Saccharomyces cerevisiae S288C: one gene and its partners. The gene in region 4 interacts genetically with the main gene of each other region. Each region holds a gene or a part of one and is shown on either strand. Other genes may lie near its edges.

Evidence for each region.
Region 1: mutations in NEM1 (region 4) and ERV14 together harm fitness more than expected from each alone (negative genetic interaction), as found in Saccharomyces cerevisiae (4 studies listed by BioGRID).
Region 2: mutations in NEM1 (region 4) and SYS1 together harm fitness more than expected from each alone (negative genetic interaction), as found in Saccharomyces cerevisiae (4 studies listed by BioGRID).
Region 3: mutations in NEM1 (region 4) and DGK1 together harm fitness less than expected from each alone (positive genetic interaction), as found in Saccharomyces cerevisiae (4 studies listed by BioGRID, with this or other methods).

The regions. Positions count from the first base shown.
Region 1 is NC_001139.9:400,350-405,258, forward strand, and holds ERV14 (cornichon family protein), read right to left. Parts: upstream 939-4,909; coding exon 522-938; downstream 1-521. Other genes in the region: pheromone-regulated DUP240 family protein PRM8, read left to right, coding at 2,240-2,953; DUP240 family protein MST27, read left to right, coding at 3,338-4,042. UniProt on the Saccharomyces cerevisiae protein: Could regulate export of the bud site and axial growth sites selection protein AXL2 and possibly other secretory proteins from the endoplasmic reticulum in COPII-coated vesicles. Seems to be required for axial budding pattern in haploid cells.
Region 2 is NC_001142.9:425,776-434,139, forward strand, and holds SYS1 (Sys1p), read right to left. Parts: upstream 6,426-8,364; coding exon 5,814-6,425; downstream 1-5,813. Other genes in the region: CYR1 (adenylate cyclase), read left to right, coding at 1-5,462; COX16 (Cox16p), read left to right, coding at 6,869-7,225; dolichyl-diphosphooligosaccharide--protein glycotransferase subunit OST1, read right to left, coding at 7,446-8,364. UniProt on the Saccharomyces cerevisiae protein: Necessary for the targeting of ARL3 to the Golgi. Involved in protein trafficking. May serve as a receptor for acetylated ARL3.
Region 3 is NC_001147.6:895,465-904,029, forward strand, and holds DGK1 (diacylglycerol kinase), read right to left. Parts: upstream 4,465-8,565; coding exon 3,592-4,464; downstream 1-3,591. Other genes in the region: U4/U6-U5 snRNP complex subunit SNU66, read right to left, coding at 1-923; RNA-processing protein NOP58, read right to left, coding at 1,361-2,896; 60S ribosomal protein eL20 RPL20B, read right to left, coding at 4,786-5,303, 5,730-5,730; SPS4 (Sps4p), read right to left, coding at 6,394-7,410; YOR314W (uncharacterized protein), read left to right, coding at 7,579-7,908. UniProt on the Saccharomyces cerevisiae protein: CTP-dependent diacylglycerol kinase that catalyzes the phosphorylation of diacylglycerol (DAG) to phosphatidate (PA). Controls phosphatidate levels at the nuclear envelope.
Region 4 is NC_001140.6:111,254-120,367, reverse strand, and holds NEM1 (Nem1-Spo7 phosphatase catalytic subunit NEM1), read left to right. Parts: upstream 1-7,273; coding exon 7,274-8,614; downstream 8,615-9,114. Other genes in the region: ERG11 (sterol 14-demethylase), read left to right, coding at 1-277; STP2 (Stp2p), read right to left, coding at 929-2,554; protein transporter TIM10, read left to right, coding at 4,467-4,748; GPA1 (guanine nucleotide-binding protein subunit alpha), read left to right, coding at 5,451-6,869; TCD1 (tRNA threonylcarbamoyladenosine dehydratase), read left to right, coding at 9,051-9,114. UniProt on the Saccharomyces cerevisiae protein: Catalytic component of the NEM1-SPO7 complex which acts as a phosphatase and dephosphorylates the phosphatidic acid phosphohydrolase PAH1. Essential for the formation of a spherical nucleus and meiotic division.

The DNA of each region.
Region 1 (4,909 bases), on a different chromosome or scaffold from region 4:
TTTATGTATAGAAATTTTCATTTTCATTTAGATTCAGATTTGGTTATCTTTTTTCATTATATATCTTTTGCACTAAGTTTCAACTTAAGTTCTATTTTTTATTTTTTTTTTCTGGGCCCTGGAGCAATAGATATGGGATGGCTTACTGCATCTCTTCAAAATTTCACAGTCATGCTCACCCTTAAGTTCTCAACCTTTTAGTTTTTTTTTTTTTTTTTTTTTATTTTGTATGGCATACTAACTATACAAATATTTATATGTACATTTATACAGTAACCTATTATTTACCGATATTCACCGGTATTTTACTTTAATAGATGCTGGTAATAACGAAAAAAATTGATAACTCCCACCGACAATTGAGAAAAAAAGCAAAAAAGGAAAAAAGGGAAGCACGAATTAATACATTCTGTGTATTTATCTTTTTTATCTTCAGTTTTCCTCCAATCTATGGGCGGCCATTAAGTATGTCTATTATTCTTGGCCCTTCAGTCTTCTTTGGATTTCAATGTCTTGTTGGATTAGAAGTCATCACCACTTTCAGCAATCAAAGCCATGATCATTCTGTACAAGTAGAAGAAGAACATCAATAAGTGGAAACCTAACTTTAGGAAACTCTCCCTTTTATGTTTGCCTAAAGTTCTGAATATTTCGGTAGCATCCAAAAGTTGAACTTTATTGTAGATCTTGTTTAGATTGTAAGCTAGAACTGGTAAGTTCAATAAAAATACAAACCAGTAACCGTTCAGTAAGAATAGTAATGACAAAGCACCATGCAAGGCGGCTTCAGGGGTAATTAACTTGTTAACTTTAGAACATAATTCAATTGGATTGATATAGTCAGCTTCTAAATCAGCGTATAGTATTGTGAAATGCACTTGGCCAAACAAATTGATACAGTTGACAACAACAGCAAGGATAAATAACCAAGCACCCATTTTTCTTTTTATTCTTAATTTTTTTACTTTACTTTAATTGCAGTTCAAAGGTAAATGTCTTTGTTAAGTAGGCAGTGAGACATAATAATATGAGAAAAATCCAGGTCTCTCCTTCGTATTAAGGAATACATGATCTAGCTATCACTCTTAAATCTTTCTCCTTCCTTGTTTTTTCTCCGAAATGAAGAAAAAAAATTTTCTTCACGGAACTAACGTGAAAAAAAACTTTCAAAAAAATACTCCGATACGGGGAGTCGAACCCCGGTCTCCACGGTGAAAGCGTGATGTGATAGCCGTTACACTATATCGGAAACAAATTAACTGAAAATGTTGTATCTCAAAATGAGATATGTCAGTATGACAATACGTCATCCTAAACGTTCATACAACACATATGAAACAACCTTATATCAAAACGAACAACATGAGATAAAACCCGGCCTTCCCTAGCTGAACTACCCAAAAGTATAAATGCCTGAACAATTAGTTTAGATCCGAGATTCCGCGCTTCCACCACTTAGTATGATTCATATTTTATATAATATATAAGATAAGTAACATTCCGTGAATTAATCTGATAAACTGTTTTGACAACTGGTTACTTACCATATATATTATTGAGAAATGGGTGGATTTTGAGATAAATGTGAGAAATGGGTGAATGTTGAGATTGTTGGAATAAAAATCCACTATCGTCTATCAACTAATAGTTATATTATCAATATATTATCATATACGGTGTTAAGATGATGACATAAGTTATGAGAAGCTGTCATCGATGTTAGAGGAAGCTGAAGTGCAAGGATTGATAATGTAATAGGATAATGAAACATATAAAACGGAATGAGGAATAATCGTGATATTAGTATGTAGAAATATAGATTCCATTTTGAGGATTCCTATATCCTCGAGGAGAACTTCTAGTATATTAGGTATACCTAATATTATAGCCTTTATCAACAATGGAATCCCAACAATTATCTCAAAATTCCCCCAATTCTCAACATCCGACTGCCATGCAATGTGCTTTTCTGGATCTCACTCATGATCATAATGGCCCTGTAAAAGGCTCGTACTGTTATTATCATATCTTCAATTACGTATTATTTCGGAGGCTGTACCTATTAGTGAAATAACGCCTCTAAAAATGAAAAGAAGAAAAAGAATATGAAAGGGGTTCTGAATTGCTAAAATATTTCGTCAAAGCTCAATTAGTATCAAGATCAAGTCGTAATTCGAATCAGCATAACAACCTCCAAAACCATATAATAACCTTACACAAGACAAGATATCAATTCAACATGCAAACCCCTTCAGAAAATACCAACGCCAAGTCGGATTCTCTCGACGAACCCGGTGCATATTTAATCGAGGAAAATGTGGCTCTTCCTAAGGACATATTCCATTCGTACTTGAGTTATTGGATATATGAAGCAGCTCACTGTACACCGGTCATGCTTTTGTCTCTAGTAATTGGGGTTTTAATCTCAATAATTATTCTTTTTCATGATAACGAAAATTGCGTTGGGGTTTCTGTAGGGTTTCTCCTCATATTCTCTGGCATTTTAGTGATAGTTCTAATACTCAGGTTTGGACCACAGATCAGTGATGAAGATTTCAAATGTAAGCTACTGATGGAAATTATCACACGGAAACCTACGGTAAAGGGGAAAGAATGGAGGACAATTACATACAAGATGAACCAGTATTTATTTGATAACGATTTATGGAACACTCCCTACTACTTTTACCGTGATGAAGATTGCCACCGTTATTTTCTAAGTCTTATTAAGGGAAGAACTTTCAAGAAGCAAAAGGAATCGTCAGCCAGCAATGTTAAAGACGCACAATCAAATGACGAAACCGCTGGCACACCAAACGAAGCCGCTGAGTCTTCTAGTTTTAGTGCCGGACCGAACTTTATAAAGCTCCTCACCAAGGCAGCCGAAATCGAACAACAATTTCAAAAGGAATATTGGCGACAAGAGTATCCTGGTGTCGATGAGTTTTTTTAGACAGAAGACGGGAGACACTAGCACACAACTTGACAAAGGATCTACTTCTCGATTGACGACACTAGTAGGTGTCAAATTTAGTGTCATTTATGATTTTTTGTAATAGGATATAAATATATACGGCGCTCCAAATAATGCAGTTGCCCCAAAAACACCACGGAACCTCATCTGTTCTCGTACTTTGTTGTGACAAAGTAGCTCACTGCCTTATTACCACATTTTCATTATACATCACTTCGCAAAATGCAATATTGAAAATGCCTCTAGAGATGAAAAACAATCGTGAAAAGGGTCCTGCGTTATTAAAACATTTGATCAGTATGCAATGGCACAGAGACAATCAGGAATACTATAGTCATAGACGATACAAGGTATATATTGGTCATGCAGACCCCTCTAGAAAGTACCGACGTCAAGTTAGATACACTCAACGAACCTAGTGCACATTTAATTGAGAAAAATGTGGCTCTTCCTAAGGACATATTCCGTTCGTACTTGAGTTATTGGATCTATGAAATCGCTCGCTATACACCAGTCATGATTTTGTCCCTGGTAATAGGGGTTTTGGTTTTATTAATTATATTTTTTAATGACAACGAAGCTTGTGTTTTCAATTCTGCATACTACGCTTATCTTTCTCTTGTAGTATTGTTAATAATATTAGGTGATGGTAATCCAAAGCTAGTCAGTCGTCGAAATTTTAGGACCGAGCTTTTAGTGGATGTCATCACACGTAAACCGGCAGTAGAAGGGAAAGAATGGAGGATCATCACATACAACATGAACCAATATTTGTTTAATCATGGGCAATGGCATACTCCGTATTACTTTTACAGCGATGAGGATTGCTACCGTTATTTTCTACGCCTTGTTGAGGGAGTAACCCCCAAGAAGCAAACAGCCACGTCAATTGGCAATTCTCCGGTCACCGCTAAGCCTGAAGATGCCATCGAGTCAGCTTCTCCTAGTTCCAGACTGAATTATCGAAACTTTTTGCTCAAGGCAGCGGAGATCGAACGACAAGCTCAGGAAAATTACTGGCGAAGGCGGCATCCCAATATCGATGCGCTTCTTAAAAAGACGGAATAGCTTAGAGACACTGCCATACGTAAAGCGAACATAAACTAGAGTATGATATATAATCAGCACTAACTGGCCCGAAAACGGCCGAAGAAGCCTCGAAAAGTCGATTCGTGTTGGACCCATTTGCTGAACGAAGTGTTCATTGCCTACCTATTATGGTAGTAGTCGTGATAATCGTGTGGTTGGTTTTGTCAACGGTGCATTTGCATTTTCATGACAATAAGCCTTGCGTTTTCGTTCTCGGGATATTACTTTCCCCCCACTTCTTTCGCCTCGATAGCTCCTATAAGCATTCTCAGGGCGTATGTCGGTGATCGAGATTTCCAAGCAAGCTTTTAGTGGAAATCATCGCGCGCAAGCCAGCGGTAAAGGGAAAAGAACGGAGGACGATTACATACAAGATGAACGAATAAATAAATTAATAATAAATAATAATAGAAAGTACAGTAGCATTAAATATTATTAAGTTTAATGATTAAAAATTGGTTAATTGTCAAGAAAATCTAAGGTATTAATAAATAAATAATACTATGACAACTTGCAGCGAAACGATCAGCCCCAATGAAAATTAATCAGAATTGAATTTGAGCGTATCTATTTGATAACGGTTTACGTAACTGTTGGAATAAAAATCAACTATCATCTACTAACTAGTGTTTACGTTACTAGTATATAATCATATACGGTGTTAGAAGATGACGGCAAATGATGAGAAATAGTCATCGTTTTCAATGGAAGCTGAAATACAAGGATTGATAATTGTTGGAATAAAAATCAACTATCATCTACTAACTAGTATTTACGTTACTAATATATTATCATCAAAATTCACCCACTCTTCAGTTACTTATCTTATATATTATATAAAATATG
Region 2 (8,364 bases), on a different chromosome or scaffold from region 4:
CTAATAGGAAACCTTCTAAAGACTCCACTTTATCTAATCACTTGGCTGATAACGTGCCAAGCACTTTACGAAGGAAAGTGTCCTCATTGGTACGTGGTTCTTCCGTCCATGATATAAATAATGGTATTGCAGATAAACAGATTAGACCAAAGGCTGTTGCGCAATCAGAAAATACATTACATTCATCCGATGTTCCCAATAGCAAACGCTCGCACAGAAAAAGCTTTCTGCTAGGCTCCACATCTTCTTCAAGCAGTAGAAGAGGTTCAAATGTCAGTTCAATGACTAACAGTGACAGTGCAAGTATGGCGACGTCGGGTAGTCATGTTCTCCAACATAACGTATCTAATGTTTCTCCAACTACTAAAAGTAAGGACAGCGTTAACAGCGAATCCGCCGATCACACTAATAATAAATCCGAGAAAGTGACTCCAGAATATAATGAGAACATTCCGGAAAATTCTAACTCTGACAACAAACGCGAAGCCACAACGCCTACTATAGAAACACCCATTTCATGTAAACCATCCCTTTTCAGGCTAGATACAAACCTTGAGGATGTTACTGATATTACAAAGACGGTGCCACCCACCGCTGTCAATTCTACACTAAATTCTACACACGGGACTGAGACTGCCTCACCCAAAACGGTGATCATGCCTGAAGGTCCTAGGAAGTCGGTGTCAATGGCTGATCTCTCCGTCGCTGCCGCAGCACCTAATGGTGAATTCACATCAACTTCCAATGATAGATCACAATGGGTAGCACCTCAAAGCTGGGATGTGGAAACCAAAAGGAAAAAAACAAAACCTAAAGGGAGATCGAAATCAAGAAGGTCAAGTATAGATGCTGATGAACTTGATCCCATGTCACCGGGGCCACCTTCAAAAAAAGACTCTCGTCATCATCACGATCGAAAGGATAACGAATCAATGGTCACTGCGGGTGACAGTAACTCAAGTTTTGTTGATATATGTAAAGAAAACGTTCCGAATGATAGCAAGACCGCACTCGATACTAAATCTGTGAACCGCTTAAAAAGTAATTTGGCTATGAGTCCCCCAAGTATACGATATGCTCCATCAAATTTAGATGGGGACTACGACACGTCTTCCACTTCCTCATCTTTACCGTCCTCATCTATTAGTTCAGAAGATACATCTTCCTGCAGCGATTCCTCTTCGTACACTAACGCGTATATGGAGGCCAACCGAGAGCAGGATAATAAAACACCGATCCTGAATAAAACGAAATCGTATACCAAGAAATTTACATCCTCTTCGGTAAATATGAATTCACCAGATGGTGCCCAGAGTTCTGGATTATTACTACAAGATGAGAAGGACGATGAGGTCGAGTGCCAACTGGAACATTACTATAAAGATTTCAGTGATTTAGATCCAAAGAGGCACTATGCTATTCGTATATTCAATACTGATGACACTTTTACGACTCTCTCATGTACTCCAGCGACTACCGTCGAAGAGATAATACCTGCACTTAAAAGAAAATTTAACATTACAGCGCAAGGGAATTTTCAAATTTCCCTGAAGGTGGGAAAGTTGTCAAAAATTTTGAGACCAACTTCGAAACCTATTTTAATTGAAAGAAAACTTTTACTTTTGAATGGTTATCGAAAGTCAGACCCACTTCATATTATGGGTATAGAGGATTTAAGTTTTGTTTTTAAGTTTCTTTTCCATCCTGTCACACCTTCTCACTTTACTCCTGAACAAGAACAAAGAATAATGAGAAGCGAATTTGTTCACGTAGATTTAAGGAATATGGATCTGACTACACCTCCCATCATTTTTTACCAGCATACGTCAGAAATAGAAAGTTTAGACGTTTCTAATAACGCAAATATATTCCTACCTCTGGAGTTCATTGAAAGCTCGATTAAATTATTAAGTTTGAGAATGGTTAATATTAGAGCATCTAAATTTCCTTCCAATATCACTAAGGCGTATAAACTAGTATCTTTGGAATTACAGAGAAACTTCATAAGAAAAGTACCGAACTCAATCATGAAACTGAGTAATTTAACGATATTAAACCTTCAATGTAATGAGCTTGAAAGCCTACCGGCTGGATTTGTTGAACTGAAAAATCTGCAATTGCTAGACTTGTCTTCAAACAAGTTCATGCACTACCCAGAAGTTATTAACTACTGCACCAATCTTTTACAAATAGACCTATCATATAATAAAATCCAAAGCTTACCACAGTCCACTAAGTACCTAGTAAAGCTTGCGAAGATGAACCTTTCTCATAACAAACTAAATTTTATAGGCGACTTATCGGAAATGACAGATTTGAGGACGCTGAACCTAAGATATAACAGAATATCATCAATTAAGACAAATGCGTCTAACTTGCAGAACCTTTTTTTAACAGATAATAGAATTTCGAACTTTGAAGACACTTTGCCGAAACTAAGAGCCCTTGAAATTCAAGAGAATCCAATCACTTCTATATCCTTCAAAGATTTTTATCCAAAAAACATGACAAGTTTGACGTTGAACAAGGCACAGTTATCGAGTATTCCTGGAGAATTACTCACCAAACTATCTTTCCTCGAGAAACTTGAACTTAATCAGAATAATTTGACTAGACTGCCACAGGAGATATCCAAGTTGACTAAATTAGTTTTCCTTTCAGTGGCGAGAAACAAACTAGAGTATATTCCACCCGAGCTATCTCAACTGAAAAGTTTGAGGACATTAGATCTACATTCTAACAACATAAGGGACTTTGTTGACGGTATGGAAAACCTTGAACTAACATCGCTAAATATTTCATCGAATGCATTCGGTAACTCTAGCTTAGAAAATTCTTTTTACCATAACATGTCATATGGGTCAAAGTTATCTAAAAGCCTGATGTTTTTTATTGCTGCAGACAATCAATTTGATGATGCTATGTGGCCTCTTTTCAATTGCTTTGTCAATCTGAAAGTGCTAAATCTTTCTTACAACAATTTTTCAGATGTATCGCACATGAAACTTGAGAGCATTACCGAATTGTACCTCTCCGGTAATAAGCTCACGACATTGTCGGGTGATACAGTTTTGAAATGGAGCTCTTTAAAGACTTTAATGTTGAATAGTAACCAAATGTTATCTCTGCCTGCAGAATTATCAAATCTCTCACAGCTAAGTGTATTTGATGTTGGAGCAAATCAATTAAAGTATAATATATCAAACTATCATTACGATTGGAACTGGAGGAATAATAAAGAACTAAAATATTTGAATTTTTCAGGAAATCGAAGGTTTGAAATAAAGTCATTTATAAGTCACGATATTGATGCTGATTTGTCAGATCTGACAGTATTACCTCAGTTAAAGGTACTAGGTTTAATGGACGTAACTTTAAATACTACCAAAGTACCGGATGAAAATGTCAATTTCCGTTTAAGGACAACTGCATCAATAATAAATGGGATGCGCTACGGTGTTGCTGATACATTAGGTCAAAGAGACTATGTGTCATCTCGTGATGTTACCTTTGAAAGATTCCGCGGAAATGACGACGAATGCTTACTATGTCTTCATGATAGTAAAAACCAAAATGCAGATTATGGCCACAATATATCAAGAATTGTTAGAGATATTTACGATAAAATACTGATCAGACAACTGGAAAGGTATGGAGACGAAACAGATGATAATATAAAAACTGCACTTCGTTTCAGTTTTTTGCAACTGAATAAGGAGATTAACGGAATGCTAAATTCTGTTGATAATGGTGCCGATGTTGCCAATCTTTCATATGCAGACTTGCTAAGTGGCGCTTGCTCTACTGTGATATATATCAGAGGGAAGAAACTCTTCGCTGCAAATTTAGGTGACTGTATGGCTATTTTATCCAAAAACAATGGTGACTACCAAACGCTAACCAAACAACATCTCCCAACAAAGCGGGAAGAATACGAGAGGATCAGAATATCTGGCGGGTATGTCAACAATGGAAAATTAGATGGTGTTGTAGATGTGTCTAGAGCAGTGGGTTTTTTTGATTTGCTTCCCCACATTCATGCTTCTCCCGACATATCTGTCGTGACATTAACAAAAGCAGACGAGATGCTTATTGTAGCAACGCATAAGTTATGGGAATACATGGACGTGGATACAGTTTGTGATATCGCGCGTGAGAATAGTACTGATCCACTCCGTGCCGCAGCTGAGTTGAAGGATCATGCCATGGCTTACGGCTGTACAGAGAATATTACAATTTTGTGCCTTGCTCTTTACGAGAACATTCAGCAACAAAATCGGTTCACTTTAAATAAAAACTCTTTAATGACTAGAAGAAGTACTTTCGAGGATACTACATTAAGAAGACTTCAACCTGAGATTTCTCCGCCAACAGGTAACCTAGCAATGGTCTTCACTGATATCAAAAGCTCAACCTTCTTATGGGAGCTATTCCCTAACGCAATGAGGACCGCAATAAAAACTCACAATGACATTATGCGTCGTCAACTACGAATTTACGGTGGTTACGAAGTAAAGACAGAAGGAGACGCCTTTATGGTGGCATTTCCTACGCCAACTAGTGGTCTGACATGGTGCTTAAGTGTTCAATTAAAACTCTTGGATGCACAATGGCCGGAGGAAATTACCTCAGTTCAAGACGGCTGCCAAGTTACGGATAGAAATGGTAACATTATCTATCAAGGCCTATCAGTTAGAATGGGTATTCATTGGGGCTGCCCAGTTCCAGAGCTTGATTTAGTGACTCAAAGAATGGACTATTTGGGGCCGATGGTCAATAAGGCAGCAAGGGTCCAGGGCGTCGCTGACGGTGGTCAGATTGCAATGAGTAGTGATTTTTACTCTGAATTCAACAAGATAATGAAGTATCATGAGCGAGTAGTGAAGGGCAAGGAATCTCTCAAGGAAGTTTATGGTGAAGAAATTATCGGAGAGGTTCTTGAAAGAGAAATTGCCATGCTGGAAAGTATTGGTTGGGCATTTTTTGACTTTGGCGAGCATAAGCTAAAGGGACTCGAAACCAAAGAACTCGTTACTATTGCGTATCCTAAGATTCTTGCTTCCAGACACGAATTTGCATCTGAAGATGAGCAGTCAAAATTAATCAATGAAACGATGTTGTTTCGTTTAAGAGTCATTTCAAACAGACTGGAATCTATAATGTCAGCTTTAAGCGGCGGATTTATTGAACTAGACTCTCGGACGGAGGGAAGTTATATTAAATTTAACCCTAAAGTTGAAAATGGTATTATGCAATCGATTTCTGAGAAGGATGCGTTGTTATTTTTTGATCATGTAATTACTAGAATCGAATCCAGTGTGGCATTATTACATTTACGACAACAGAGGTGTTCAGGACTGGAAATTTGCAGAAACGATAAAACATCTGCTCGAAGCAATATTTTCAATGTTGTTGACGAACTTTTACAAATGGTTAAGAACGCAAAGGATTTATCAACTTGAGTTCTGTTCGTAAATTATGTACCACCCTGTTACTCGTTTCATATTCACGCTAGAGAAGTACCTCAGCTTACTAGATCCATTCACACATTGCAAGTATACTAAAACTATATAAAATTTAAGTACGTAAACTCTTTACTTATTATTATCTTCAATGTCATCACGTACTTAATTATGTTAAATATAGATTGTGTATAAATAAGAAATAGGATCTGTTTTGAAAAATTGGCCAAAAAGGCAGATTTATTAAGCCTATAGAGATAAGGTTCTTGCCATTTTTCATACATTTACTGTTTTCTCTTGAATGACTATAATATTGCCAAAATTGCCTCGAATATGTTGTTTCATCTCCTCTCATATTTGGCTTTCTAAGTCTTTTAGTTGTATTGGTGATTGCTCCAATTCTGAATGATTACTATGCTGCTGACTAGGCGTAACCAATCCAACTTCTCCTTCATTAGGATCAACCAAGCCCTCAAAAAAGGTGTCTCTAAGCTCTCTCCATCTTGTTGTCCATGTCCCCAAAAATATTAGTATTAAAGATGATAAAATTTGAAGAAAAAACCAAGAAAAAGAAGGAAATTTCCGAGTATAGAGGAACACCACAATAAAATTGATGGCATGTATAGTGATAGCAAAATCCCATGCGAGTTTACTCCGTCCAACGATAACAGTTAAGAAAAAAACACATATTAATGAATCCAGAAGCCATAACAGTGAGATTGATAAACCGTATGCGTTCGTAAAGTCGATATTCTCCCAAGAAAACAGCCATTCCTTGATATTGAGATCATATCCCGCTAGCTTCGCCCAACAATAAAAAAGAACGATCGCTGTGGTGTAATAAAAAATCTGTAAAAGAACAATTTGAAGTCCAATCTTACTTGGAGAGAGAGAATCTTGTTTGAAGATCTGGGAAGGTTTCAACTCATTCGGCACTCGCAAATACCTTCTTATCGAAACCATGTTACAGTAATTCAAATGCCTATTTTTTATCTCACTTCTATGTGTACCCTTCCTTAGCCTTCCTAAAGATCATCTCTTAACATGAAGTTACAGAATATTACCGTGAATATCGCGAGCTACGAATATTTTGGGTGGGGAGATATTTATTCATGATTAGCCTTGTCCTATAGTGTTACAATGGAGCAAATTGTTCACCGTTAGTATTTTGAATACGACAATATTAAATGAATAATAGCGCCTATCTCTTGTTACGTTTGGCGATTTGTATACCTTGTTAAATAAACTGATTAAAAGCCGGGTTATGGCCGTACACAAGTTATTAGAAAGCAAATACACTTCCTTATATCTGGTCACCTAGTTAATAAAAGGAAGTCTTTAATTTTGGCAAAAACCACTATATATATTAGTCAACAACTGAAATATTACCAGAATTTGTCTCCTAAATGTCGTTCAGCGGAAAAAAATTTAGGTCTAGAAGACAGCAGCTAGTATATGAAGCATCTTTAGCGGGGCGATACAAAAAAGCATTGAGTAAGCACCCCTTTCTTTTTTTTGGTTTACCATTTTGTGCAACAATAGTATTGGGTTCGTTTTGGTTGTCAAGCTTTACAGCGATCAAGTACGAGCAAGGCGATCGTAAAGTTCAGGAAATTAATGAAGAGGATATCTTGAAAATAAGGAAGAATCAAAGGGAATTTGATATTAAAGAAGAATATTATCGTTTACAAGGTCTTTCTGAAGAGGATTGGGAGCCTGTGCGCGTCGCTAGGTTAAAGGATGAATCTGAGAATGTCTGGTAACATTCAAAACGTGAACATCTTTGTTATTCTTCTGTCCTTAAACTACTAAACAAAAAAAACTATGACCATTGATTGTGCAAAGAAAAGACCACGAGAATGTCTAGGAAATGATTGTAAATACCTTTATTCATTGGAAAATTCTTATCTATAAAACTTATAAAAAATTAAATACTGAATTTATTGCTCTGCATCATAAGGTATATATCATTCAAACGTGAACTCAGTTAGTTACGTTCATGTTCAAAGTTTTTAAGACAAAAACTCCCATTAGTGCGGTGAAAATATAGCAAGCAATAGACAGAGGCTTCTTGAAAAAAGAGCTTTTCGGGTAGTCGTACTTTATCAAGACTTGGCCATTGGCAACTTGACTAATCAAATTTCTGTAACTGAAAGTTAATTTAACGTGACCTTTATTTAGGTCAAAGTATGATTTCTGGGTTTCTATAGAAACATTTGTAAAAGGGACTGGAGAATCAATATCGAATATTTCGGCCCCTTCCGGAAGAAATACCGATAATTCAACATTATCATATACAGTGTCCGGTGGGCCGTTTAGAATTGGGATAGAAGCAACGAATTTCTCGTCTGAGCCAGAGGATACATGCAAGAAATCGGACAATTTATTAGTCCAACCGACAGTAAAATTGTAGTTCCAACCTCCAAAGATTGGGAATCTTGGTCTTATAAAGAAATGGTCACGTTCTGCATGCGACGTGGAAACAAGGCCAACCAAATCAGTGAAATAATGATCAGTAGCTCCCTCAGGCAGGAGCATGTCTAAGACAGTAACAAAGTGAGTTTGTCTCATATTCTGAGTTTGAATCTGTTTCATTAATTCTAATCTTGAAAATCCTTTAGACAGTTTTGCGGCTTTGTTTGTTAATTCATAATATTCCTCAAATTGTATTGTGGAAGCCCAATGAGAAAGCCAAATATCTCTTCTCAAATTCACTACCTGATTCAATGGGGCATTGTGGGAATAAACAATTGCTAAGGTTTCGTTTGAAGAAAATCTCGGAATATCTTCCCAAGGCCCAAACTCAAAAGAGTTTCCATTAGCTTTTCCCAGTAAACTCTCGTCATTTGGGGGGTGGTACTCCTCAAATGATGAGCTACCAATCAGCGTAAAAGAGGCCTTC
Region 3 (8,565 bases), on a different chromosome or scaffold from region 4:
ACTAACTTAACAATTTCCATCTTATCAGTAATTTTTGACTTCCTAGCTTTAGTAGATCTTGGGTCCTTGATCTTACGTTTTTTAATTTTTAAAGGTTTAAAGTCTCCACCATCTTCATCTGACATATTATTTGCGCTATCGAAATTCACTTTAACTTTTCCCGTTGGTGGTTTTGCTGATATAGTATTCGGTGCCTTCATAACACCCTGTTCTGCTCCGATGATTAGATGTGTAGTTGTAATTGAGTGTTTCTCTCCTTCTTCTTCTTCTTCAATATCTAAGCTAGATACATTTAAAATTTTTTTTTTTTGTCTTCTATCTTTATTCATTTGTCGTAATCGTAGTTTCTCTCTATCAGCGTTTTCCTCGGCAGCTTTCACATTCTCTAACACTTCGGTAGAATCAGTATCATCAAAAATACTGCTCTCTTTCAAAGTTAGAATCGTATCTTTCTTTGGGCTAAGCGCCTCGATATTATATGATACTTGAACATTATGCAGATCAATATTTTCGTCTTCCTTCGTGGCGCCTTTTCTTGGCAATGTGCTGGAACGTTTGGATTCATGTGAGGAAGGAATTGCATCCATGTTTTCTAGCCATGAACTGTCGTCATTTACATTAGTTTCTTCGAGAAGGTGCGCCATTCGTAAAGGAGCGTTCGCCTTTTTTTGAAACTTTGTTATCTTCTCTCGAAGTTCATCGATTTTGGATGTGTTATGTACATTAGGGGGAGAAGAATTGAAATTTTGTTGGGGTGGGATAAGTTTTAGGCCAAGGGACGCCCTCAACTCATTCGTCTCTTCGATTGACAAAGACTCTTTATGGTCTGTATTCTTTTCTTGAAAAACTGGAATAGGTTTCATACCCAGCTTTTCCCTTATTTCATTTGTCTCCTCAATAGAAAGGTTTTCCGTTTTGTTCATAAATTAATTAAGGGTTGATGTGATGATTGCCTTTTTATTAATATCAAATAGTAACGATTGCACCATCTCATCCTTTGCTCACTTTCAAAAATTTTGTATATCTTTTTCGTCCCGCGAATAATTTTAAGTTGCGCAGTTCACGATATGAATACCTATAACTGCTAATGGTACAAATTTTTTAAAGGTTAAACAAAACTTTTAATGATATAAAGTACCTAAAACTATGTAAACATAAATTATGTATACTATTTCAAATATATCACCTAAAAAAAATAATAAGTTCAATTCAATATGGGCGTACAGCACTAATTTACAGATTATGGAATAAAATATGAAATGAGAAATAGGTTAAGCATTGGATAATTATAGAAAATTTTCTAAATCCAAATAAAAGGGAACGCGAGGGGTCACTAATTATTAAAATGTAAAATGCATCCTTATTTCTTCTCTTTCTTCTCTTTCTTGGACTTCTTTTCCTTCTTCTCTTTCTTCTCTTTCTTCTCCTTCTTTTCCTTCTTTTCCTTCTTTTCCTTCTTGTCCTTCTTTTCCTTCTTAGCTTTTTTAGAATCCTTGGAATCTTCATCATCGTCTCTCTTTCTCTTCTTTTCTTTCTTTTCTTTCTTTTCTTCCTCTTCATCATCAGAATCGGATTCAGAATCAGAAGCAGCCTTTGCGGTATCAGCATCTGCATTGTAGGCCCTAGCTTCAGTCATTTCCACCTTCTTAGCCTCACGAACAACCTTTGGAGTAGTTCTTAAATCTCTACCTTCTAATTGGGATAATCTATTTTCTACTTTGGCTCTTGATTCTAGACCAATGTCACCTGAATCGTCTCTATCTTCAGCTAAAGCATCATAACGCAATGAGACAGCGGCCTTAGCAGCCAGAACTCTTGCAATCTTACCTTTGTTCTTACCAGTAGCTTGACCAACAAGAGAGGCATGATATAGCAAACCATACTTTGGTGTATCATGCTTGGTCTTTAAAGCTCTGAATAAAGCCTTTTCGGCACCTAATATTTGGATGGTAGAAGCTGGTGATTTGGCCAAGGAAATTAAGGAACCTGAATGAGCGATAAGTCTAGCACCAACTAATTCACCAACCAACTGAGTCAAGTTTGGAGCAATAGCCTTCATTCTTGCAGACAAGTAATTGGACAACTGTTCTCTGTAAGCGGCAAATTCGACTATTTGTTCAGCTAAAGCATTAATGTTGTCTAGATCGGTTTGAGTGATTTCAGTACCCATAGACACTTCAGCAGCGGTTTTGACACGTTCTTCAATCTCTTCTGGTAAGATTTCACTCAAATCTGTTTCAGAAGCCTTGGATCTGATACCCATTGTTAGAATAATTCTCGCATAAGCGACGGAATCAGTAACAATCTTAGCTAACTCAGGAAAGTGCCACCCGTACCATTCTTTACATCTCATGGCATATGTGTTTAATTCTTTATCTAAATCATCCAATAAAGCAATTGCTTGAATAATCATAACATCAACTTTGTCAGCAGAAAATTTTAATTTGTGACGACCGATGGAATGAGCTAAACCCAAAGACATCTTGCTTAGATCATTATCAGACATACCTGGCAGCAATTCTGGCAAATATTCTTTGATAGCTCTATAGATATCTAAGGTTACAGCATCGGAAACAACATTGAAGTTCAATCCCAACTTATTAATAGCGTTTGCCAGTTTAGTTTCACTAACAATCAAGGTCGACTTCTTGTCCTTTTTAATTTCTTCCAGAAGTTTTTCTAATTGGGAAGAAACTTTACCTTCAATAATGGAGTTGGCTTCCTCTAAAGCGTTAGCTGCAGAGTTGAACTTGGAAAAGGCGGCGATCTTGAATTCCTTCAAGACTTTGTCAGAGCTATCCAAGTCTTGAATTAAGCTTGAAGATTTGTAGATTTTCTTATCGGAAGCTTTTAAAAGAGCATAACCAGCTGAAGTTTCAGTTAAAACGTAAGCCATTGTATGAGGAGGTTGAGGTTCTACAGCTAATTTGGTATCGACTGCTATTTCAAAAATAACTTATATGCGAAATTTTTGCGAAAGCATAAATAATTCTTGCTTTTCTGAAAATTTTCGATGAGGTTGAAAAATTTTCCAAATTTCTTTTTTTCTGTTCTAACGTACACAATGATATCAATATCAATAAGGCCACTGGGCGGTAATCGCAGATAAACCATATATCCTTGAGATGCCAAGATAAATGAACGCTGGTTCAGGATCTTGGTAATCGTATTTCGCAGGATTGTTCTTTTTTATTGTTCTCTGATATGATTGCTTTGTGACAAAGTTGGGGCATGAAAAAGCCTTTTTTTACTGATGAAAATATGGTGTAGGTTTACGATTAAATAATAATGTTGCGCCCCATTTGGATGCGCTTGTTGGCACATATATTAGTAACATAAATGTTTTCATAAAACTGCTTGTGTCGAATGTTTCTAATGGCGTGAAAAATACGGAAATACTGCTGAATAATTTACACAGGTTCTAACTCTATACTCGGATATGTAGGATATTTAGAAAAATAATTTGTGGATGCCAAAGATCGAAGAGGTGCTGGATCGTTAACCACAGATAAACTGAATCGCGCACTCCAGTTACTGTAAAAAAGACTTACCGAAGAATATAAAACACTCCTGTTTTTGGTATATATGCTTTTATTTCTTGAATGTTTTGATTACTGCGTTCATAAAAAGTGATGACAGGACAGGAATAGTGAAATTATCATCCCAGTTGAACAAATCTATACCTTCACTCAAAGCAGCTACCACACCACCTAACAAGGATAGCATATTCAAACTTAATCTGCTTGTTTCTGGGCTCCATTGGATCTCGCCAGGTTTGTTGACGTAGCTGTAGGCAGGAACAAAATAGCCATAAAATACCCAGCAGGTGATAACACCAACTGTAAACGCAGCTATCGAACCTGCAAGGGATTTATTTCTTGCCACTTTGGGTGTTAAATGACCATACTTTCTTCCAATAGTTGCGGCGGCTGTATCGGACCAACTTAGCAAAAATAACGATATTAAGGTAACATCTTTAGAGAAAAAGTTAAAAGAAAAGATTAACCCAAGAATGTACCACAATACCCCATTGTATGTATGAATCTCCTTTTTTCTCATTAGCGCACCCACAGTTCTACAGTAAAGCATATTGAAAAAGGGCCAGTTTAGTCTTATCAGATCCAAAATAAACAATATGATGAAGGCGTATATCAAAGGCCATAAAACATTTTTATAATTAATACCCTGCGTATACAGGTACAAAGTAATAAAGCCAATGGAAGAATGGAACACCTTACGGGGAATTTCATGTTTAGTTATAAAATCGCCGAACCATTCATGAGATTTCAAATGTATTTCTGTCACTGGAACGTGTGCATCGTCATCGCTACTACTAATTTCTTCTTTTGCTGGAATCGTTACTTTCGCCGAGACTTGATGACTCTTAGATGATAGTCTTTGCTTAGCTTCGGTACGCGGCTCTAGCGTGCTATTTGGAAGGGCAATGGCATCTTCGGTCCCCATATTGTCTGTAAACCCTGTATGAATCCAAATGACAGAAATGCGTAGATATCTGTTTACGTAATGTTCAACTGCTCTACGACAACACCGCTCAGGATTTTTATAATTACGCTACGTTTTATATTTATCGCAGAAAAACCAATAATTTGTTACCCGCTATGGACCCTGGATTTTGTAAAGATACATGGCATGACATTGTGCTTTCACGCTGGTAGTGCATAATGTAAGAGAAGAAACAGGATATATTTTAAAATTTCCTTGAATCTACAAAATGAATTATACAAAATTTTATTATACTAAAAAACGTAGAAATATCTTGTTGGCTTAGTAGAAGGTTGATGGTCTCTTGTAAGAGAAAGTCTTGGTAGATTTTTGGACTCTGTGAGGTAATGGGAATTTTAAATCCTTGGTCAAGAATTGCTTGACGTATTGTCTCTTGACATCAGCAGTCTTTTCAATTTCAGCAACCTTCAAGATGTGAATAGATCTAAATCTAGCTCTGTGTCTAGCAGCCATGTCTTGGTATAAGGTTTCGACGGCAGCAACTCTGGATACGTCTCTGATTTCCTTGTACATGTTGTGAGTACCAGATCTGGAATCGTATCTAACCCAAACACCGAAGTTCTTGACCTTGGTTGGGTGAGCTTCGTTGATTTGGTTGATGGAAACAATTTCACCAGAAGCCTTCTTAACCTTGTGCAATTTTTGCAAGAAATACCAGTAACGAGACTTGGCGATGACTTCATTTGAAGCAAAAATTCTCATTCTGAACAACTTTGGTTCTGGAACGGATTCAGTTGGTAAACGACGACCAATGACTTGGTATTCTTTGAAATGAGCCACTGTTAAAGATAAAAATCAAAAAAGAATTTATTCTTGTTAGTAAACTTGCATATTTCAAAAATATTGCTTTATTGCAGACAATTACATGTAAATGAATGTTTCAAAATAGATCTCTGATTCAGTTAATTTCCTCTATAATTCCTGGATGGTAGTTCTATAGTCCTCATGTGAAGACTTCTCAAATGATATTAACCATATCATCAGTATTAAATGGTACACCGCCTTCCTTCTAGAAGCAATTTATGGTAATAATCGTATTCAGTATTCGGCGTATTTCAGGAAAAACATTCACAGGTTGCATTGACTTATTGGGTATTCTTCAGTATTTTAAATTTCCACGATATGTTCATTCAATTTGAGCTCACCATATAAAATAGCTACATTGACATTCATTCCACAAGCATACAATACATTCTATTACATACTTTTTCTTTGCTTGATTCCTTTGTTACGGTTCTCTTCTATTATCTTCTGCAAAAATAATGCCCTCAAAAACGGTTATATCTATCTATTAGAGTTACTTCTTCGTACTGTTGCCAACTCGAGCGGAAAGAAATTAGACAGAATCTGGCGGAAAATTGAGAAAGAGCTAGACAGACTATGCGGAACAACTTGGAATCTGCCTCTGTCCGTGTGGCCTGGCCCTGGCCTGGGAAGTAACTGTCTAGGCCGCGGACATTTTTCTCTTCGGTAGTAAGCCGCCCTACTGGTCATGGGGTTACCTGAAAGAGATAAAAATTCAAAGATAGCATCGCGCCGTCGGAAACGTAAAATGTACGGGTGAACAGTCCCGAAAACCGTATTTATTGTTTTGGGGAAGAGCTTGTTTACTTCGTGCCTACAAACAATCAGCACCTTAAGATATGACAGAATAGCTTGCTATTTGATTTTTTTTTTATCTAGCTTGTAAATATTTATTAAGCCTTTCCTTACAAAAAAATATATTTTCTTTTACCTCTTTTTTATGTTGAGCGTGTATACATTGGTAAATTTAAGTTCAGTGCTTTCAATAGATAACACCTATTGAATTTGCGCCAGTAGGTACAAATTGAAATTCTCGCCTATATTAAAATTATTTTCTATGCGAACTTATTGTACTAGATGTGGTAAATCTCCTCCCTCAGATTTGTTGCCAAAAAATCTAAACAAACTTCTATCGGTGACAGAGGCCCAAATTTCGCGTTCTAAATCAGTTATGGTATCCCAAGTACCTCTCAATACATTTTTCATTTTTAAATCGGCCTGTTTGTCTAAGTTTTTATTATAAACAGAGTTTGTATGATATCCATAGGCAATGGGAAGCTTTGCAATACCAACAACTTGATGACTAACTGCAGAAACTGCTCTTGTCATAAAATTGTATTCTAAAGCTAGCCCCCTATTAAACTCACAAGAAAAGGAATCATTTGGAACTTTCTTACCTTTGGGCAAATACTTTACCGTTACCTTTTCGAATGTATTATTGACTGGTAACAAAACAGGGTCAAGTTGCCCCCTTATCAAAGGCTTGCCCTTTGTGTCTATGAATTTTTCATTATAGTACTTCCTAAATTTCATCAACCTTCCATGGACAGGTTGGTAAACATAGTTGTCTCCATTTCTTGCTGTCGTATCCCTGAGCTGCTTTCCATACTTTTTCGACAAAGTATACGGAAGTGCAATTTCCTCACCTAATCTTTTATAAGTTTTTGTTTTCAAAGAAGGGACAACGCGCTCTACTGTACTTAAAGTCGAATTGGCCATCTTGTCAAAAAAATTGACCACTGGTGCTACGGCTTGAACGGGACGTGACACTACCACTTTATCGATTCTAGGCTTTGTTTGTGCTAAAATAATTCTCGTTAGAGCAATCTTCTTTGCAATCTCTTCTGTTTCTTGCACTATTGGATAAGTTTCTATGTGATCAACTGTTTTCAAATTTAATCTACCCCTCCTAGCTGCATGTTCATTTGCACTGAGATTACTGTTTTCGGTAAAATTTTCTGTAACTGCTTCTTGTGTCTGCGATTGTTCCATTTCATTGGGTTCATTCGTGTTTTTGTGTAAAAAATTCTTATTTTCTTCTTGTGGTTTTGTAACCTTCACTATATTCAAATTTGATGGCATGTTTGTTGAAATATGTTATGTGAAACCAATGTAGCAAAAACAATTTTTTATGTTCTTGTTGCTTGCCTCTCAAAAATAACAAAGGAAGAAATTTTGTCGAAAGTGTAGTAGAAGGAGGTAAAAAGTGAACACTTCTTAGCAATTTATAGTTCCAAAATTTATGAATTAATGACAATGATACGTTTTTGTGGCGCGCGTCAATCGGCGATAATCAGCAACGCGTCTGACGCTGCTGCAGGAACCAACAAAAAAAGGATACTAAACCCTCTTGAGTCCTTGTGTCTTAACGACCGCATAGACGAACACCGTTGCAAAGAAGTCCAGTTATCTTCATTACGAAGTCTATTGTATGCTATGATTTTAAATAGAACCATAGGCAGCGAGACCGGCGTTTTTTCTTTTCTGCTCTTTTCTTTTCGTTACTTCGGAGAGGAAAGAGACTTATTTTACTGCTTCTTCTCCGTCTTTTTACTTAACATTACATATTTATTGGATTAGAACTTTTGTATAGGGGTAAACAATACTGAGGATATTCATAACTATCTTTTTTAGGTCTCCTTGGCTCTTTTAAGTAGAACAAAAAAATCTAGGACAGTTGCTTTGCCTTTTCAATGTCAGTTAAAAAAATAATGGAAACGTTAGTTCCCACCCAGAAAGACAACAAAAAAGTGTTTTCTTTTCGAAGTATTCCAAGATTTCGTTGTCATGGCATATCGGTACAATCTTTTGGTTGGAATGAATAAAATCAGTTATCGTCCCACCAATGGGAATAGAGCATATAATGTTATCTCAGGACAGCAGTGATGTCCAAGAAAGTAACTACGAGAGTTTTACTATACTACATATTATAAGGACAAATAGTTGCATAGCAACAAGCTTGGGGGATAAACATCAAGAGAATGCATTGAGTTACTACGCAGGCCTTAAAGTAAGGCGATTCCACGGCAGTAATTAGTTTAGATAACAACTTACTCTACTGCGAGCTCTTCTTAAAAGACGTGTCCTTTTAAGATTCAGAAGCATTTTCTTGGGTAGGGGTTTTTTGCGTTACTCTGTTTTTTGAGATCGTAATTCGACACATAAAACTCTCAGCTAGCCCACCCTTTGGGCAAGTTATACCTTTCTACTTTCGTCCAATCCATACATCGCCCAATT
Region 4 (9,114 bases):
TTCCGTCGGTGAAGAAGTCGATTACGGTTTCGGTGCCATTTCTAAGGGTGTCAGCTCTCCATACTTACCTTTCGGTGGTGGTAGACACAGATGTATCGGTGAACACTTTGCTTACTGTCAGCTAGGTGTTCTAATGTCCATTTTTATCAGAACATTAAAATGGCATTACCCAGAGGGTAAGACCGTTCCACCTCCTGACTTTACATCTATGGTTACTCTTCCAACCGGTCCAGCCAAGATCATCTGGGAAAAGAGAAATCCAGAACAAAAGATCTAAGGTTTGTAACTGAGAAAAAAAAAAAAAACAGAAAAAGAGAGAAGTTGTACATTCACGTGGGCCTTATCGCCACACTCATCCATCTCCAATGATTTATTTTATTTGCCAGTACGTTTGATATGACATCGAGTTATGTTCTTTAGTTACTTTCAAACTTGGACAACCATCCCGCATTATTTATGAGTGGTATGGTTTCACTTCTTTATTTATAAATATTTATACTACGAAATTATATATAGATTACATTTCTAAAACAACATCAAATATAAGGTTTATTTATGCAACATGCCTACTGGATTAGAAGAGAGAACACACAGCTCACAGGCCAAGCGGAAATAAAGCAGTCTTTTCGCAAACTTGTAAATCTTTTTGCAATTTAAATTAATCAAGAGAGGGCCCAGGAGGAGAGGAGTTTTGGGGAGGGGTCACTGAGGAAGCTCTCTTAAATATGGATTCACTGAAATAAATGTATATAAGATTCATTACTGCTTTTTATAGTGATAAATCCAAATGATGAGTGAATTGAACCATCCTTAGTATCCATTGTTTTATAAAGCACCGCTAAAAATAATATATTGCTACAAAAATGATATAATAATAATATTACGTAAAATACCTGAAACCGCCATAAAAATAATACCTGAATTAACCTTAAAATTCTATCCCATAAGCTTTTTTGTAAAGGGCCAGATAATCTTGAGTCTCCTTCAAATGATTCTCACCCAGAAGTTCAAAGTCCATTTGCTTCTGTAACATCTCATTAATGGAAATCATATTGCTTTCCTTTGACTGATTGATTGCGTCCTCCTCGGTTTTGTCTGGCTCCAACAACGATTGCTCTGAATCCAATGGGTATGACTTATTTGTTTCTGTAGTTGTTATTGGATCGCCTGAAAGTGGAGATAGCGCTGAGGAGGCAGAGGATAATGCTGGAGAATCCATATGCAATGTGTATCTTGATGATTGATACTCTTGTGGTACAGAAGATGCATTTTGGGGTGACAAAATTGGGGGAGATATTATTGACCACTCTTTGAGATTTTGGACTTCTGTAGGTCCTCTTGATTGTGTAGTTTGTGTAGGTCTTGATATTTGTTTGCGTTCAAACCATTGAGTGCCTATTCCAAAATCGTTTTTTTCGGTTTTGGTTGGTATGATCTTGTCATTAGGGCGTTCCTTGGACTGCATTACTGTCGCTTCTATACAATTCTTATTTTGTAAAGCTGGTTCGGAAACACTTTCGTCGGATGAGATGAACCTTGTTTGGCCATCCGAAGTCTTTATCATTTTCATTTTAGACGTCTTTTTCTTCTCTCGTATTCCCTCTGAATAGCCTTCTGGTAAACCTTTGCAACTCCCAGCCTCAATGTGGTTTTCCACCCAGCTCTCACTAGTGCTAAAGTGTTCCCCACATTGAGTGCACACTCCAGGTGATTTATTACGGTCCTGAGGCTTAACACCTTCTGGGTAAGTGAAATGTCTAGATTTCAAATGTGTTTTGTAGGTATCTCTTCTGCTAAACCCCCCAGAAGTATGGCATCGCAATTCTTGCGAAATGCTATTATCAAAAAATGGACAGTGATAGGCCTTCCTTTTCGCATGCTTTTTTATGTGTCGTGTTAAGTAACCTCTGATTCGGAACCTAGCATCGCAATAGTGACATATATATGGTAAAGTTTCGGATGACTCATCAGCAATTCCTTGAACCTCATCGGATAGGGGAGATTCATCAATACTTTTCTTCGATGCAGGAGTGATTACGCTACTTACGGGCGTGATTGGAAGGAAATTAGAGGGGAAAAGAGCTTTGTACTGGTCATTATTGATATAGGATTCCTCTAGCGGGGGAGAACTTATCAAGTCATTCTGTAACTTTGCTGGCTCGCCGCGGCTAGGGCCCCGTAAAATCGGTTCGTCCAAGTTCAACTGTGTAGTGACTGCACCATTATTATCAATTTTAATTGAGAAAGGTGTTTCTAGGTTATCCAAATTTAAAGCACAGGGTACAACTGAAGATTTTGATGTTAGACTCAATTGTTTGTTGTTCTGTTTGGGAAATAATTCGCTCACGTCAACCAGATCGTCCTTTTCGGTAGCACAGCAGTCTTTCTGTGGATGGTTCTGTTTCGCAGGTTCTAACTTTTCGAAAGGAGTACTTTTCGAAGATTTGTCGTCTTCCACATTGGGCACAATCACTTGCTGCACTAATGCTTTAAGGTAGTCATATATCCTTGTTAACACGCTGTTCCGTGTTGAAGATAGTGATAAGATAGGCATGATAATGGATTTCCTTACTTCCCCAACTTTTTGCTCTCTTGCATTTGTCTGTTTGTCGGATGATTAATCACTGTTTTTCATTTATTAATCATCGTTTTTCTCGCTTTTTGCCCGTATTGGAATGTGAAGAGAAAAAAAAAATGATAAGAATTCTAAAAAAAGATACTCTTCGTTCGAATGGATGACTCTAAGAAGGGTAACAGACTTTCAATCTTCAAATAACATTATAATCTCTATTCTAGCCCTTAGAGGAGCATGTCATGCGTTCAGAACCTCCATTAATAGCTTACTTTATAACTTTCTATCAGTCACAAGTTAAACGTCGACAATTTTTGTGGGAAATGGTCTGTTTTTTTTCTTCAGTTAATAAATCTCGTTCTTGACTGCAGGTAATTAATGGTATCGTGATCGTTACCTATGCTTACACACTATAAGAATTTTCTTCGTGAGAATTGGCCCATTTCTCTGGTTCTTCTGAAGAGAGTTTTGCTGACCATCAATCAGCTTTACGAAAATTTACCGCCCAATTTCTTGCCAAAATGCCATCCATATTCCCATTCATTGGAATTCTTTCACTATTTTATCATTTCAATGTTCTTTGTAGCAACAGGCTCTTCTTTTTCACGCTTACTGTGATCATTTGTTATAAGTGCTGGTATTTTCTCTCTTCTGGAATTCCGTGCTATTGATATCACGACATGTGCGCTTCTCATGATTTTGCCGCCCAAGGCACATTTTGCCGTCTGTTTTTAACCTAATATTTATGTCGCGGGTATATTATCATATATTGCGTAAGAGGATGGTATTGCTGATGGGAAGTGGTCAACAAATTCAATAGGCACTGAAATGTAAGGGCTGACAATGTAATTGGATAAAGAAAGGCAACACATGAAAGGAAGAAAAAAAAAACGTTATTTATTATTATGTAAAACTATTGACCTCACCTTTGTGATTCACGCTGTCCTCGTGAAAAAACTTTTTTTGTTTTTGTAGACCTAATAAAAGAACCTTTTTTAACAATGTCCTAACAATAATTTCAACAGTTGCCAAACCTCAAATAGTGTTGGAATAAAAATCCACTATCGTCTATCAACTAATAGTTATATTATCAATATATTATCATATACGGTGTTAAGATGATGACATAAGTTATGAGAAGCTGTCATCGATGTTAGAGGAAGCTGAAGTGCAAGGATTGATAATGTAATAGGATAATGAAACATATAAAACGGAATGAGGAATAATCGTGATATTAGTAAATAGAAATATAGATTCCATTTTGAGGATTCCTATATCCTCGAGGAGAACTTCTAGTATATTCTGTATACCTAATATTATAGCCTTTATCAAAAATGGAATCCCAACAATTATCTCAACATTCACCCATTTCTCAAATAGTATGTTTTGGTGTTAAAGAAGAACATTGGAAACAAAGGAAAGGTAAGCATTAGCCCGGAAACAAAACAAGAGGAAGTAATATACACCTTTTTGGTTAACTTGTTCGTTCAGAAGAGCCCAAGTATGTAATTATTTTTTGCAAATCTTTCCTCAGTAACGATAACGACACGAAGGTAATATTTTAAAACATTTATCAACAAGTCACTAAATATAATCTGGGTCCTATCACTATTAGAGCTTCTATGGCCAAGTTGGTAAGGCGCCACACTAGTAATGTGGAGATCATCGGTTCAAATCCGATTGGAAGCATTTTTTGCATTGATTTCCCAATTCGTAGCTGATGATCACCCTCTGAAGCTATCGGACATTTTTTTTCTTTAATTTTTTCAGCGAGAGAGCTGGCAGTGAACGTACAAGAGCAAGCTCTCTAAAGAACTATTACTCTCCTCGTTCCCCTCTCATGTCTTTTAACAGATAAACAAGCAAAAGAAGGAACTATCATACTTAGAAAAACATGTCTTTCTTAGGTTTCGGTGGTGGTCAGCCTCAATTATCATCTCAACAAAAGATTCAAGCTGCGGAAGCTGAACTAGATTTGGTCACAGACATGTTCAATAAATTGGTTAATAACTGTTATAAAAAATGTATCAATACTTCTTATTCCGAGGGTGAGCTGAATAAGAATGAATCTTCGTGCCTAGACAGATGTGTGGCCAAATATTTTGAGACCAATGTTCAAGTCGGTGAAAACATGCAGAAAATGGGCCAATCATTTAACGCAGCCGGTAAGTTTTAGAAATGTGCATTAAAGCAGTAATGATAAGACGAAAATAAGAAAAGAAATCCATAAGCTGTTTTACTCGACTCAACGTTATAATTAGTATTATTGATTCATATCCTGTATATACAAGTAACATTATACTCTTTTCTGTACTTCATCTTTACCTTTTTATCTTACATGGCACATGTTGTTTGAAAACAAGATCATAGGTGGATAAAGCAAGCCGAATCTAAAAAAAAAAAAATGTCTCTATTGGAAAACTGAATGCATAACGATATTCCCTTTTCATGCAGATAACACTGACTAGTTTCAATTTGAAACGCATCTTCGTGTTATTTCACCGAAACGCACTCGGCTCAGCATGTTAAAAAGCACATCAATTTAGGGCTCTGCGCGTCCTTCTGCGTATTCTTCCTTGTAGAAATGCAATTAAATGGAGAGCAGAAATTTTTTTGTTACATATTGTTTTCCTTAAAGGGAAATATTAAAAAATAGTCTAAAATGAAGAGGATAGTAGAATTCCACCAATTTCTTTACGTTTTATATTATTCGTAATCTTTTGATCTGTTATTCATTTTTTCTTGTCACTCCGTTTCTAACATTTTTGACCATTTCTAAGACCAAACTGAGTAGAAGCTATTCATACTGTAAATTGGTATTTTAGCATCACATCAATAATCCAGAGGTGTATAAATTGATATATTAAGGTAGGAAATAATGGGGTGTACAGTGAGTACGCAAACAATAGGAGACGAAAGTGATCCTTTTCTACAGAACAAAAGAGCCAATGATGTCATCGAGCAATCGTTGCAGCTGGAGAAACAACGTGACAAGAATGAAATAAAACTGTTACTATTAGGTGCCGGTGAGTCAGGTAAATCAACGGTTTTAAAACAATTAAAATTATTACATCAAGGCGGTTTCTCCCATCAAGAAAGGTTACAGTATGCTCAAGTGATATGGGCAGATGCCATACAATCAATGAAAATTTTGATTATTCAGGCCAGAAAACTAGGTATTCAACTTGACTGTGATGATCCGATCAACAATAAAGATTTGTTTGCATGCAAGAGAATACTGCTAAAGGCTAAAGCTTTAGATTATATCAACGCCAGTGTTGCCGGTGGTTCTGATTTTCTAAATGATTATGTACTGAAGTACTCAGAAAGGTATGAAACTAGGAGGCGTGTTCAGAGTACCGGACGAGCAAAAGCTGCTTTCGATGAAGACGGAAATATTTCTAATGTCAAAAGTGACACTGACAGAGATGCTGAAACGGTGACGCAAAATGAGGATGCTGATAGAAACAACAGTAGTAGAATTAACCTACAGGATATTTGCAAGGACTTGAACCAAGAAGGCGATGACCAGATGTTTGTTAGAAAAACATCAAGGGAAATTCAAGGACAAAATAGACGAAATCTTATTCACGAAGACATTGCTAAGGCAATAAAGCAACTTTGGAATAACGACAAAGGTATAAAGCAGTGTTTTGCACGTTCTAATGAGTTTCAATTGGAGGGCTCAGCTGCATACTACTTTGATAACATTGAGAAATTTGCTAGTCCGAATTATGTCTGTACGGATGAAGACATTTTGAAGGGCCGTATAAAGACTACAGGCATTACAGAAACCGAATTTAACATCGGCTCGTCCAAATTCAAGGTTCTCGACGCTGGTGGGCAGCGTTCTGAACGTAAGAAGTGGATTCATTGTTTCGAAGGAATTACAGCAGTTTTATTTGTTTTAGCAATGAGTGAATACGACCAGATGTTGTTTGAGGATGAAAGAGTGAACAGAATGCATGAATCAATAATGCTATTTGACACGTTATTGAACTCTAAGTGGTTCAAAGATACACCGTTTATTTTGTTTTTAAATAAAATTGATTTGTTCGAGGAAAAGGTAAAAAGCATGCCCATAAGAAAGTACTTTCCTGATTACCAGGGACGTGTCGGCGATGCAGAAGCGGGTCTAAAATATTTTGAGAAGATATTTTTGAGCTTGAATAAGACAAACAAACCAATCTACGTGAAACGAACCTGCGCTACCGATACCCAAACTATGAAGTTCGTATTGAGTGCAGTCACCGATCTAATCATCCAGCAAAACCTTAAAAAAATTGGTATTATATGAAGGAACTGTATAATTAAAGTAGTGTTTAGATACGTAAATTCTGTTTCCGAAGATGCAAGAAGGAGCAGCAGCACCAGAAAAAATTACTATTTTTCTTCTCCATTAGAGTCTATGATGGAATGCCAAATGAAAAAGCCATTTTGTTCAACAGTTCTTGATCTCGTTAAATCGTTCCGGGTTTTCAATTGAAAAACAAGGGTAATAAAATCGCATGAGAAAAAAAAGGTCCAGACACTTTTTTAGAAGAAAAACTCTTGAAAACAATTGATTCTTCTACGTAAGGACAGGGTATTATCTCGAATTCTTCTCCCTGGTAAATACTCGGGATATATAGAACCTATTTTGCATCCTATTCTCACTTTTCTTTATTGTTGTTAATTTCTGGACATTGTTTCATTAATTGAATGAATGCCCTAAAATATTTCTCAAATCATTTAATAACTACAAAGAAACAAAAAAAAATCAATGTTGAGGTGACAAAGAATCAAGATCTACTAGGCCCTTCAAAGGAAGTTTCGAACAAATATACTAGCCACAGCGAAAATGATTGCGTTAGTGAGGTGGACCAACAGTACGACCACTCCTCAAGCCACTTAAAAGAATCTGATCAAAATCAAGAGCGCAAAAATTCTGTTCCTAAAAAACCAAAAGCTTTACGTTCCATCCTAATAGAGAAAATAGCGTCAATTTTGTGGGCACTACTACTTTTTCTTCCGTATTATCTGATAATCAAGCCCTTGATGTCTTTATGGTTTGTTTTTACCTTCCCACTAAGTGTCATCGAGCGTCGTGTAAAACACACCGATAAGAGAAACAGGGGTTCAAATGCTAGTGAGAATGAGCTGCCTGTCAGTTCAAGCAATATTAACGATTCTAGCGAGAAAACAAATCCTAAAAATTGCAATCTAAATACGATTCCCGAGGCAGTTGAGGATGACTTAAATGCCAGTGATGAGATAATTCTACAAAGGGATAATGTTAAAGGCTCATTACTTAGAGCTCAATCTGTCAAATCAAGGCCAAGAAGTTATTCCAAATCAGAACTATCACTTTCTAATCATTCAAGTTCTAATACCGTATTTGGTACAAAACGAATGGGAAGGTTCTTATTTCCAAAGAAGCTGATACCTAAATCCGTGCTTAACACACAAAAGAAAAAGAAACTGGTTATAGATCTCGATGAGACCTTAATTCACTCGGCTTCTCGAAGTACAACGCATAGTAATTCTTCTCAGGGTCACTTGGTGGAAGTGAAGTTTGGATTGAGCGGAATTCGTACACTATACTTTATTCACAAGAGGCCTTACTGTGATTTATTTTTGACAAAAGTTAGCAAATGGTACGACCTTATCATTTTTACAGCATCCATGAAAGAATACGCTGATCCTGTGATAGATTGGTTAGAAAGCTCCTTCCCATCCAGTTTTTCAAAAAGATATTACCGTTCTGATTGCGTTCTAAGGGATGGTGTTGGATACATTAAAGATTTGAGCATTGTCAAGGACTCCGAAGAAAACGGGAAAGGCAGCTCCTCTTCTTTGGATGATGTCATTATTATAGATAACAGCCCGGTAAGTTACGCAATGAATGTAGATAACGCTATTCAAGTAGAAGGATGGATAAGTGATCCAACTGATACGGACTTACTGAACCTGTTACCTTTCTTGGAGGCTATGAGGTATTCAACAGATGTCAGGAATATACTGGCATTGAAACATGGAGAGAAGGCATTCAACATAAACTGACAATTGTTATTGTGTCCTTCCAAAAAAGATGAGAATTTTAGGTGATAAATCGCCTATCCATTGCTGCTCATTTAATGGAAAGGTTATTGCATTCAGGGAAAAAAGTAACGGGAGAAAAAAGAGAAAAGACCTCTTTTTTGTTTTCTACATACGAGCATATTAATTATTTAGCAGGAAGATATACTTGATCTAAACAGTATATATATATATATATATATATATAGGTTGGGAATTAATCTTGAAATTTTTTTAGTCTTACGTTATCTTCAGCAGTGACACGCTAAATGCCCGTATCTTACTTTACATTTTGCTGTCAGGTTTTTTGATTTCTTTTTCATATTTTATGCAGTAGCGAAAAGAGACAAGACTATGAAAAAATTTTCTAGCGTTAGTAAAGTATTAATACTGCAATTAGTTAGGATAGCAGAACGAACAAATGGCAAATAATACGTGGAAGTTAATTGCTACTACAGCTCTTATATCGGTGTTTTCAACCCAAC